Danio rerio: one gene and its partner. The protein of the gene in region 2 interacts with the protein of the main gene of each other region in a biochemical or structural test. Links are inferred from orthologs where the notes say so. Each region holds a gene or a part of one and is shown on either strand. Other genes may lie near its edges. The genes, in order: rnf7 and ube2f.

Evidence for each region.
Region 1: the proteins of ube2f (region 2) and rnf7 form a complex in vitro, tested with the Homo sapiens proteins (10 studies listed by BioGRID, with this or other methods). The link is inferred for Danio rerio from reciprocal best matches to the Homo sapiens genes UBE2F and RNF7.

Annotation. Positions count from the first base shown.
Region 1 is NC_133193.1:44,696,518-44,700,332, forward strand, and holds the end of rnf7 (RING-box protein 2), read right to left. Parts: intron 992-3,815; coding exon 873-991; 3' UTR 574-872; downstream 1-573. UniProt on the Homo sapiens protein: Catalytic component of multiple cullin-5-RING E3 ubiquitin-protein ligase complexes (ECS complexes), which mediate the ubiquitination and subsequent proteasomal degradation of target proteins.
Region 2 is NC_133176.1:8,054,957-8,059,285, forward strand, and holds the start of ube2f (NEDD8-conjugating enzyme UBE2F), read left to right. Parts: upstream 1-1,507; 5' UTR 1,508-1,740; intron 1,741-3,402; 5' UTR 3,403-3,543; intron 3,544-3,693; 5' UTR 3,694-3,725; coding exon 3,726-3,843; intron 3,844-4,329. Other genes in the region: si:ch211-93g23.2 (uncharacterized protein), read left to right, coding at 1,162-1,258. UniProt on the Homo sapiens protein: Accepts the ubiquitin-like protein NEDD8 from the UBA3-NAE1 E1 complex and catalyzes its covalent attachment to other proteins. Together with the E3 ubiquitin ligase RNF7/RBX2, specifically neddylates cullin-5 (CUL5).

The DNA of each region.
Region 1 (3,815 bases), on a different chromosome or scaffold from region 2:
TAAACATCATGTCAACCACCAAAATACATCTTTGTGCATCAGATTTACTCTCAATTACGCTCTCTAGAACAAAAGCCCATAATGAGAAACACTGCAGGGGGAGTTTTAATACAAATGTAATTAATTGCTGTTGACTTAAAAGCAACTACACCTTTGATTGTGAAATTGTTCTCATGGGTTTCAGGACTTATCGCAAGCTCTCAAATCCTGAGCTAATTGTTTCACTGGAATTAGCAGAGGATGGAGAAATAAGCAGGGTACTGGAGAAAGACTTACGAAATGCTTTGTCAGACAGCTCTCAGTGCTGCACAAGCCACAAGGAAAAGTTTTTGACATTATTTTTCTTTCTAGTTTTGTTCTGTAAAATATTTTATCAGATAAAATTTGTACTTTGAATTCATAAAATATGCATAATTGTTGACATAATTTCCTTTTTTTAGTGAATATTGCTCCCGTCCAGGGAGGTCTTTTTAAAGACATCTGAACAGTTGTAATGACTAATAATTGATTTAAAACAACAAGCATAATCAGAAAATGATTTTTTAAAAATCACTAGTAACACACTCCTATAAACATCAGCTTTATTTATTTATTTATTTCTAACATAATTAAAACACACACTCACAGTTAGATCAACGCACATGAAGTCACGCTCACACCCTTAAGTGAATCTTGCCGGATCTCTTCTTAATGCTGTATGAGGTGACAGAGGGATAAAGTTCTGGATTTTTGCCTCCATGGTCGCATACATGCACACGCCGAGGTTTTCTTACACACTAAGCACCTCGAGATGCTCTGAAGTCAGTCTGGTCTCCCTAAGCGGAGTAGTGCCAAAGTGGACGGAGGAGATGTGGGTAACGAAGCTTGAGTCTTCACTTGCCGATCCTCTGTACCACCCAGTCCTGTTGGCATAGTGGGCATCTATTGTTCTGCTTCACCCAGAGGGACATGCAGCAGTTGTGGAAGGAGTGGTTGCACTCTCCCCACACCACTGAGAGAAAAACACAATCAAAAAAACTGTAAATCTTTGAACTTTGATGGCAAAATAATAATAATAATAATAATTTCTGTACCATAGAAGAAAGAAATAACGGCTTGTAATTAGGGCTGCACAATATATTATTTCAGCATTGCTATCGCGACGTGATCATTCACAATAGTCACATCGCAGGATATGCAATGTTTGTATAATTTATCATTTGCCTGCGTTTTCATTCACATGATGCCTGTGATTGTATAATGATTTTCAAAGCAGTCAGGTGTATACAATTTTTTGTGACCTTAACTATGATAATTTTATTTTATTATTTTTATCATTCAGTTACTGTACTTGAATACGGTAAGACTCGGGAAACGATTGGGGAACACTTTATTTCAATTGTATCTTTTTCTTGATCGTATTTATAGATTGTTAAAACGTTTATAGACTGTTTATTGGATTTTCTGAAGATGCACTTCCACTGCAGAATCATCCCAATGTATCTAACATAAATTCCTTCCAAATAGATATTAAGTCATCTGGTGAAATTGTATTCATATCGCAATATATACTGCAAAATAAAAAACAATCGCAATTTTAGATTTTTCCAATATTGTGCAGCCCTAGTTGAAAAGATGTGAGGGCAAATATCTGAGTAGTATTTTTGTGTCTTCTGAATTTGAAGTAGCTTGTTTATTTTCATAGTATCGGCTTCATTGGCTGTTACATGGCAGATATATTTGATGACATTATTTTGACAGTAGTAACAGAATGGACCAAAATCAACCATTTTACAAAAATTTACTTAAAAAAAAAAAAAAAATTATATATAAATATATATATATATATATATATATATATATATATATATATATATATATATATATGTCAGATTTATTAGCCCCCGTTTTAATTTTTTTTCTTTTTAAAAAATTGGCCAAATGATGTTTAACAGAGCAAGGAAATTTTCGCAGGACAATGACAAGGGGTCATTTGGTGTTTTCCAAGACTCAAATAAATTTTATAAACTATTTCAGTTACCATATTTAAATCAAAACCCACAGAAGATAGTTAATAGTTGCGTTAAAGAAACAACAACATACAAACAAAAAACAGCCATCATCCACAGATCACTCTATGAAATTGTATTCATATCACAATATTTATAGACAAAAAAAAATGTAACGTGCAGCCCCTAGTATTAGTACATAATGTATTTACAGAATATTCAAGCTTTACATAGGAAAGGTATTACTTCTTTGGCCTTTTTTAGGGAGATGCTAATGGTCTAATCCGATTTAATGATTTATGCTAAGCTAAGCTAAAAGCGTCCTGCCAGACCTGGAGATCAGCTGAATGATTTCATAAATTGTAAAACTCAACTGTTTAAATAAAAGAGAGTTGTAAAATGTTTTTTTTTAAGCATAGTGTTACTTTAAGAACAAAATAAATACAACTTTATCTTTAAATCAACCTTCAATAAAACTATAAAAGCGTGTTTCTGGTTCAAGCAAAACATTTTCAAAATGTTTATCCTAAAAAAAAAAAAGATAGATAAATAAAAGACAACTTGCAGCTGCTATGCTGACATTTAGGTGCCTCTTTACTTTTCAACAAACATTTAATTATATATTTAATGTGTTGCTGCTTTAAATATCAAACATGAGAGCTGTCCTTTGATTGTACCAGTTGTCCAACCAACTAGTGTGATGGCAGGGTGCGTTTGATGACGCAAATGAATACTATGGATTGTGTCATCGGACATAGTACTTAACCCCAGGTTGCTTTAGTTGGATTAACCCTAATATGCATACAGTAAGTCACTTTGGACAAAAGCATCTGATAAGTGTAAAAAGTGTATTATTTACTAGTAGGGATGTCAACAAGACACTTCTGAGACATAAAAAAAAAGACTAAAAGAGACTAAAGAGACTTCTGAGACTAAAAATAAATAAATAAATATATAACAGGAAAAACAATATAAAGATGCAATTCAAAATGTTTCCAATTAATTGTATTGTAACGAATGAGTCTTCAGTTCAGCTTTAAGTATGAATTATCATATGCAAAAAACAACAGAATAATATTTAGGCAATGTACAAGGTCACCTGAACACTACTAACTCAAAAGTATTGGCTTCTCTCCAGTACAGATTCACACAAGGCTCTTCAGACCTTGAACTCTGCACGAACTGTGAGCCTCAAACTTCTGACTGAAGCTGTGCGTGACCTTCCAATTTTTATTATTATTATTATTTTTTTTTTACAAATTATAAACGACAGAAACTAACAAAATTTTATTTTTCTTGTTTATTTTTTTTTTAAACACTGACTATCATAGTAGGTAAAACAATTATAGACGTCAATGGTTCCATGTTTCCAAACATTATTCTAAATATCCTCTTTTGTGTTCAACAGAAAAAAAGAAGCTGTAACATGTTTTGTGACAAGTGAAGGGTGAGAAAAAGATGACAAGATAGAACTTTTATTTTGGGGTGAATTATCCTTTTAAGAGCAAGGAATAATTCATGATCAAAAAGCATTTTATTAATACTAATTAATACTATTATTGATAATAATACTACTACTAATTAATAACAAATTATTCAAGAATGATGTACAGTGCTATGCGATGTAGTGGAACACATAGCCAAAATGTTGTCAAAAGTACTGATTTTAGTACTAATTGGTACTGAAAGTGATCACAGTCACAGTGAACACAATGGCCAATAAGCAGTGTTCAAGAAAACACTCAACAGCGCTCAAAAAGCAAGCAGGAAATGCTTTTAGTCACTTATTTAATTAACTTTTTTATTTCAGTATTGATTTGTACAGGA
Region 2 (4,329 bases):
ACACCACAGCCAATTTAGCTTATTCAATTCACCTATAGCGCATGTCTTTGGTAGAAACCAGAGCACCCGGAGGTAACCAACGCCAACTCAGGGAGAACATGCAAACTCCACACAGAAAATGCCAACTGACCCAGCTAGGAATTGAAGCATCAACCTTCTTGGTGTGAGATGACAGCGCTACCCACTGCGCCACTGCACTGCCAATTTGTATAATACACACATATTTTATCTAAATATAAATAAACATTTAGTCAAATATATTCATGCATGTCTGTATTTATAGACACAATTAAAATACACAGAACACACATTTAAGTCATGTCGAAACAAACTTTTATTTTGGATGAGATTAATAATGATTAATTTTTGCCCAGCATTATATGTACTTTAGGGAACAGATGATCACAGATGCACGGTTTACTTCATTTATTTAAACAAATAAATTGATTATCGAAATATGAAATGAGAATTAGTAAACCCCTTTTCTTTTTAAAATATTTCCCAAATGATGTTTAACAGAGCAGGGAAATTTTTCACAGTATGTCTGATAATATATTTTTTTTCTGGAGAAAGTCTTATTTGTTTTATTTCAGCGAGAATAAAAGCAGTTTTTAGTTTAATTATTAGCCCTTTTAAGCTATATATTTTCCCGATAGTCTACAGAACAAACCATCATTAAACAATAACTTACCTTATTACACAACCTGCCTAGTTAACCTAATTAACCTAGTTAAGCCTTTAAAAGTGACTTTAATCTGTATAGAAGTGTCTTGAAAAATATCTAGTCAAATATTATTTACTGTCATCATGACAAAGATAAAATAAATCAGTTATTAGAGACAAGTTATTAAAACTATTATGTTTAGAAATGCTTAAAAAAATCTTCTCTCCGTTAACATTAAACAGAAATTGGGGAAAAATAAACGGGGTTTAATAATTCTGGGGGTTTAATAATTCTGACTTCAACTGTGTGTTTGTGTGTATATATATATATATATATATATATATATATATATATATATATATATATATATATATATATATATATATATATATATATATATATATATATATATATATATTCCGTATGTATATATATATATGAATTGCCTTTTAAAAATAATTATTTAATATGATTCTAAAATTAGTTTTTTTTTTCAGGTTGTTGGAAGCAATGGGAGCCTCGTCGACTGACACAGAATTAACAGTGATAGTAAAATATTTTTATATATTAGCCTCTAAACCGCGTAAATCCTGACATGATCCTTCAAACCAACAGCTCCATCGAACAGCATCAAAGCATGTTTTGTATCTCTGCTCTGAAGCGTTTGAACAATAAACACTTCACTTAACACCACGCTTGGATTTACTGTGTCATGGGTTTAATATTGCAAAGAACTCCATAAAAGAATTAGCTAAAGTGCTGTAAAGTTAAGTGCCTCAAAATCTCATTTGGGCTTTGTACAAAATAAGGGCGGAATTTTATTTCTGGCGTTTGATTCCATACGGAACTCTTATTAAATGAACGGAACAACTTCCGGCTTCTAAACCGCTCAGGCAGCGGAAATCATTAAACTCGGCGGAACTAATCCTCGCATCGTTCCACTCAATTTTGTTTCTTTTATCGACGTTCAGCATATTTTATCTTGAAGTTGTTTTGGGGGGAAAACGTGCAAAATTCACGTCGGGTGTCCCGATTATGGTGTAAACAGGGCAGTTCAGTCACTCTGACAGCGGCAGGTAAGTGCATTATCGATCGCAGCCGAGTTATTTCACATATTTAGAGTTGTGTTATGAATGTAAATACCTTTTAGACAATATATTTAATTGTGTACGAAAATATTTAGCTGAATCCTGGTATAAATTATGCCCTGAGCGATGAGGATTAGATTGTAGCTGCTAGTAAACATGTTAGCAAAATAACGCCTGGTGACACTAACTGGTGAATATGAAAGTTTGAATGGATTTAAGTCATGCTAAGTTATCTGCACATTGAGTTCTTATTATAGACCATACAACATAGAAGTTGTGTTATAGTTTTAATATTTCATTAAAGGACGTTTTGTAATGGCATTAGAATGAGGGTAACAGATGGTAATAACATGCTACTTTTATTTATACAGCTGTGCTGACAGAACGCTCTATTCATCTACTATGGTATTACCGTGGTATTCCAAGGCATTTAAAATGAGCCATCGCTTTATTTCAGTACATGTTTAGAAAGAAGCTTTATACTTTATTTGTAGTAAGTTACAGTGGTATGGTATTACTGTGAAGCCAATGACATGCCAATACAATTCGCATTAGAGATTTCGTACCTTTGTATTTATTCCAGTATAATAACATACAGTTGAAGAATTATTAGTCCCCCTGTATCTTTTCTTCCCCAATTTCTGTTGAACAGAGAAACTTTTTTTCAACACATTTCTAAACAATAGGAAACAACTCATCTCTATTTAACTTATTTCTTTTGTATTTTCCATGATGACAGTACATACTATTTTACTAGAGAATTTTCAAGACACTAGTATTAAGGGTCTAATAAGTTTAACCTTAAATTGATTTTTTAAATATTAAAAACTGCTTTTATTCTAGCAGAAATACTACAAATAAGACTTACTCCAGAAGAAAAAAAAACATCAGACATACTGTGAACATTTGCTTGCTCTGTTAAACATCATTTGGGAAATATTTAAAAATGAAAAACAAATTCAAAGGGGGCTAATAAGTCAGATTTCAACAGCAACTTTATTAAAACATGTGTTTATAACACCCATATTTGTTGTTATTCAAATATAGCAGTAGTAGTGTTATTATTCTACAAACAAAGTTATAATGGTTTACAAATGATATTAAAGGACAGTCTGTCATGTATAATAACATCATAGGTCTTTTGAGCTTAATCGTATAACAAGAATGCTAAAGCTAAAATATGTTCAATGCAAAGAACTTAGTTACTGTCTTAAACAATAGCTGTCACAACAAATTATTAACATCAATAAATATTTCATATTTCAAAGTTTAAACTAATAATGCAAAATCAGTGTAATGTTTACCAGTCTTGTTTTTGTATCTAGACTCTATATCATAGGGTTACCAATCTCGGTCCTGGAGGGCCCGTGTCCATGCAGGGTTTAGCTCCAACTTGCTTCAAAACACATGCCTGTATGTTTTGAGTATGGATAATAAGACCTTGATTAGCTTGTGCAGGTGTGTTTGATTAGGGTTGGAGCTAAGATCTACAGGACACCGGCCCTCCAGGAACAGGTTTGGTGACCCCTGCTCTATAATATTAAAATATAAAAGTTATGTAGTTTGTAGTTAGCATCACTATAGTTTTGCTATGTTTTTAATGTTTTTATGACACTTTTAATATAGATTTACTTGTTATTCATTTTTTAGGTTTTTATGGTAATATTTTACAGTAAGTATTGCTTACTGTAAACTTTTTCTGTTACCTACATTAGTTAACTACCTTTTAGAAGAATAACTGAAAAAAAGGAGAAAAAATGTGAAAAGGAGTGCTGTTTTCATTTTAGTTGGGTAAGTTCAACTTAACGAACGTTAGAAATGTTTCTAAGATAAAGTTTAAGTTATAATAATTATAATAAAGCGGATATATATGTTTTTTAATACTTTCACTTGTGTTTGGTGTTCACTGATGGTCATTGTGTGTATTTGTGTTCCTCACAGGTGTGTTAGGGTGTGTATGTTGGTCTGCGGGGATGCTGACGTTAGCCAGTAAGCTGAAGAGGGAGGAGGGCGTAAGGGCCGGCCGGACCCCTGCAGGCTCTAACGATGCCGCTCATAGAGTGTCCATCAGAGATCGACTGCTCATCAAAGGTATGAAAAAAACACTGCCTGCTGGGATCATGACACACTGGTTTGCGTCTAGTGGTTCTGACCATTTTTAGGTCTGCCCTGATTTCACAGTCAAAACATGTAAAGATGGACAGGTTATCTGATGAAACTTCTGGAAAATACTTGAATTTCAGACATGGATTCAAGGCCTGGAAAGTAAGTAAAGACAAACATAGGTCCGTTTAAGTGCTTGAATTAAATTTTAAATTAATTTGCTTATGGTTTTTTTTCAACCCAGTTGTTGAATACAGAAAGAAAAAAACTGAGAAATTCTTAAATAAAAATATTGTAAAATAACACAGACAAATAATGCACATTTTATCGATATATCAGAAACTGCCTTTGAATATTACCAGTAGGGTTGGCCCGATAGACGATGCCTTCGTCCATTGCTGATGGCCGATAGACAACATGATGCTGAGGCGGCATCGCGATCCTCCACTCCCCGTTGCAAACCTGCTCAAGAAA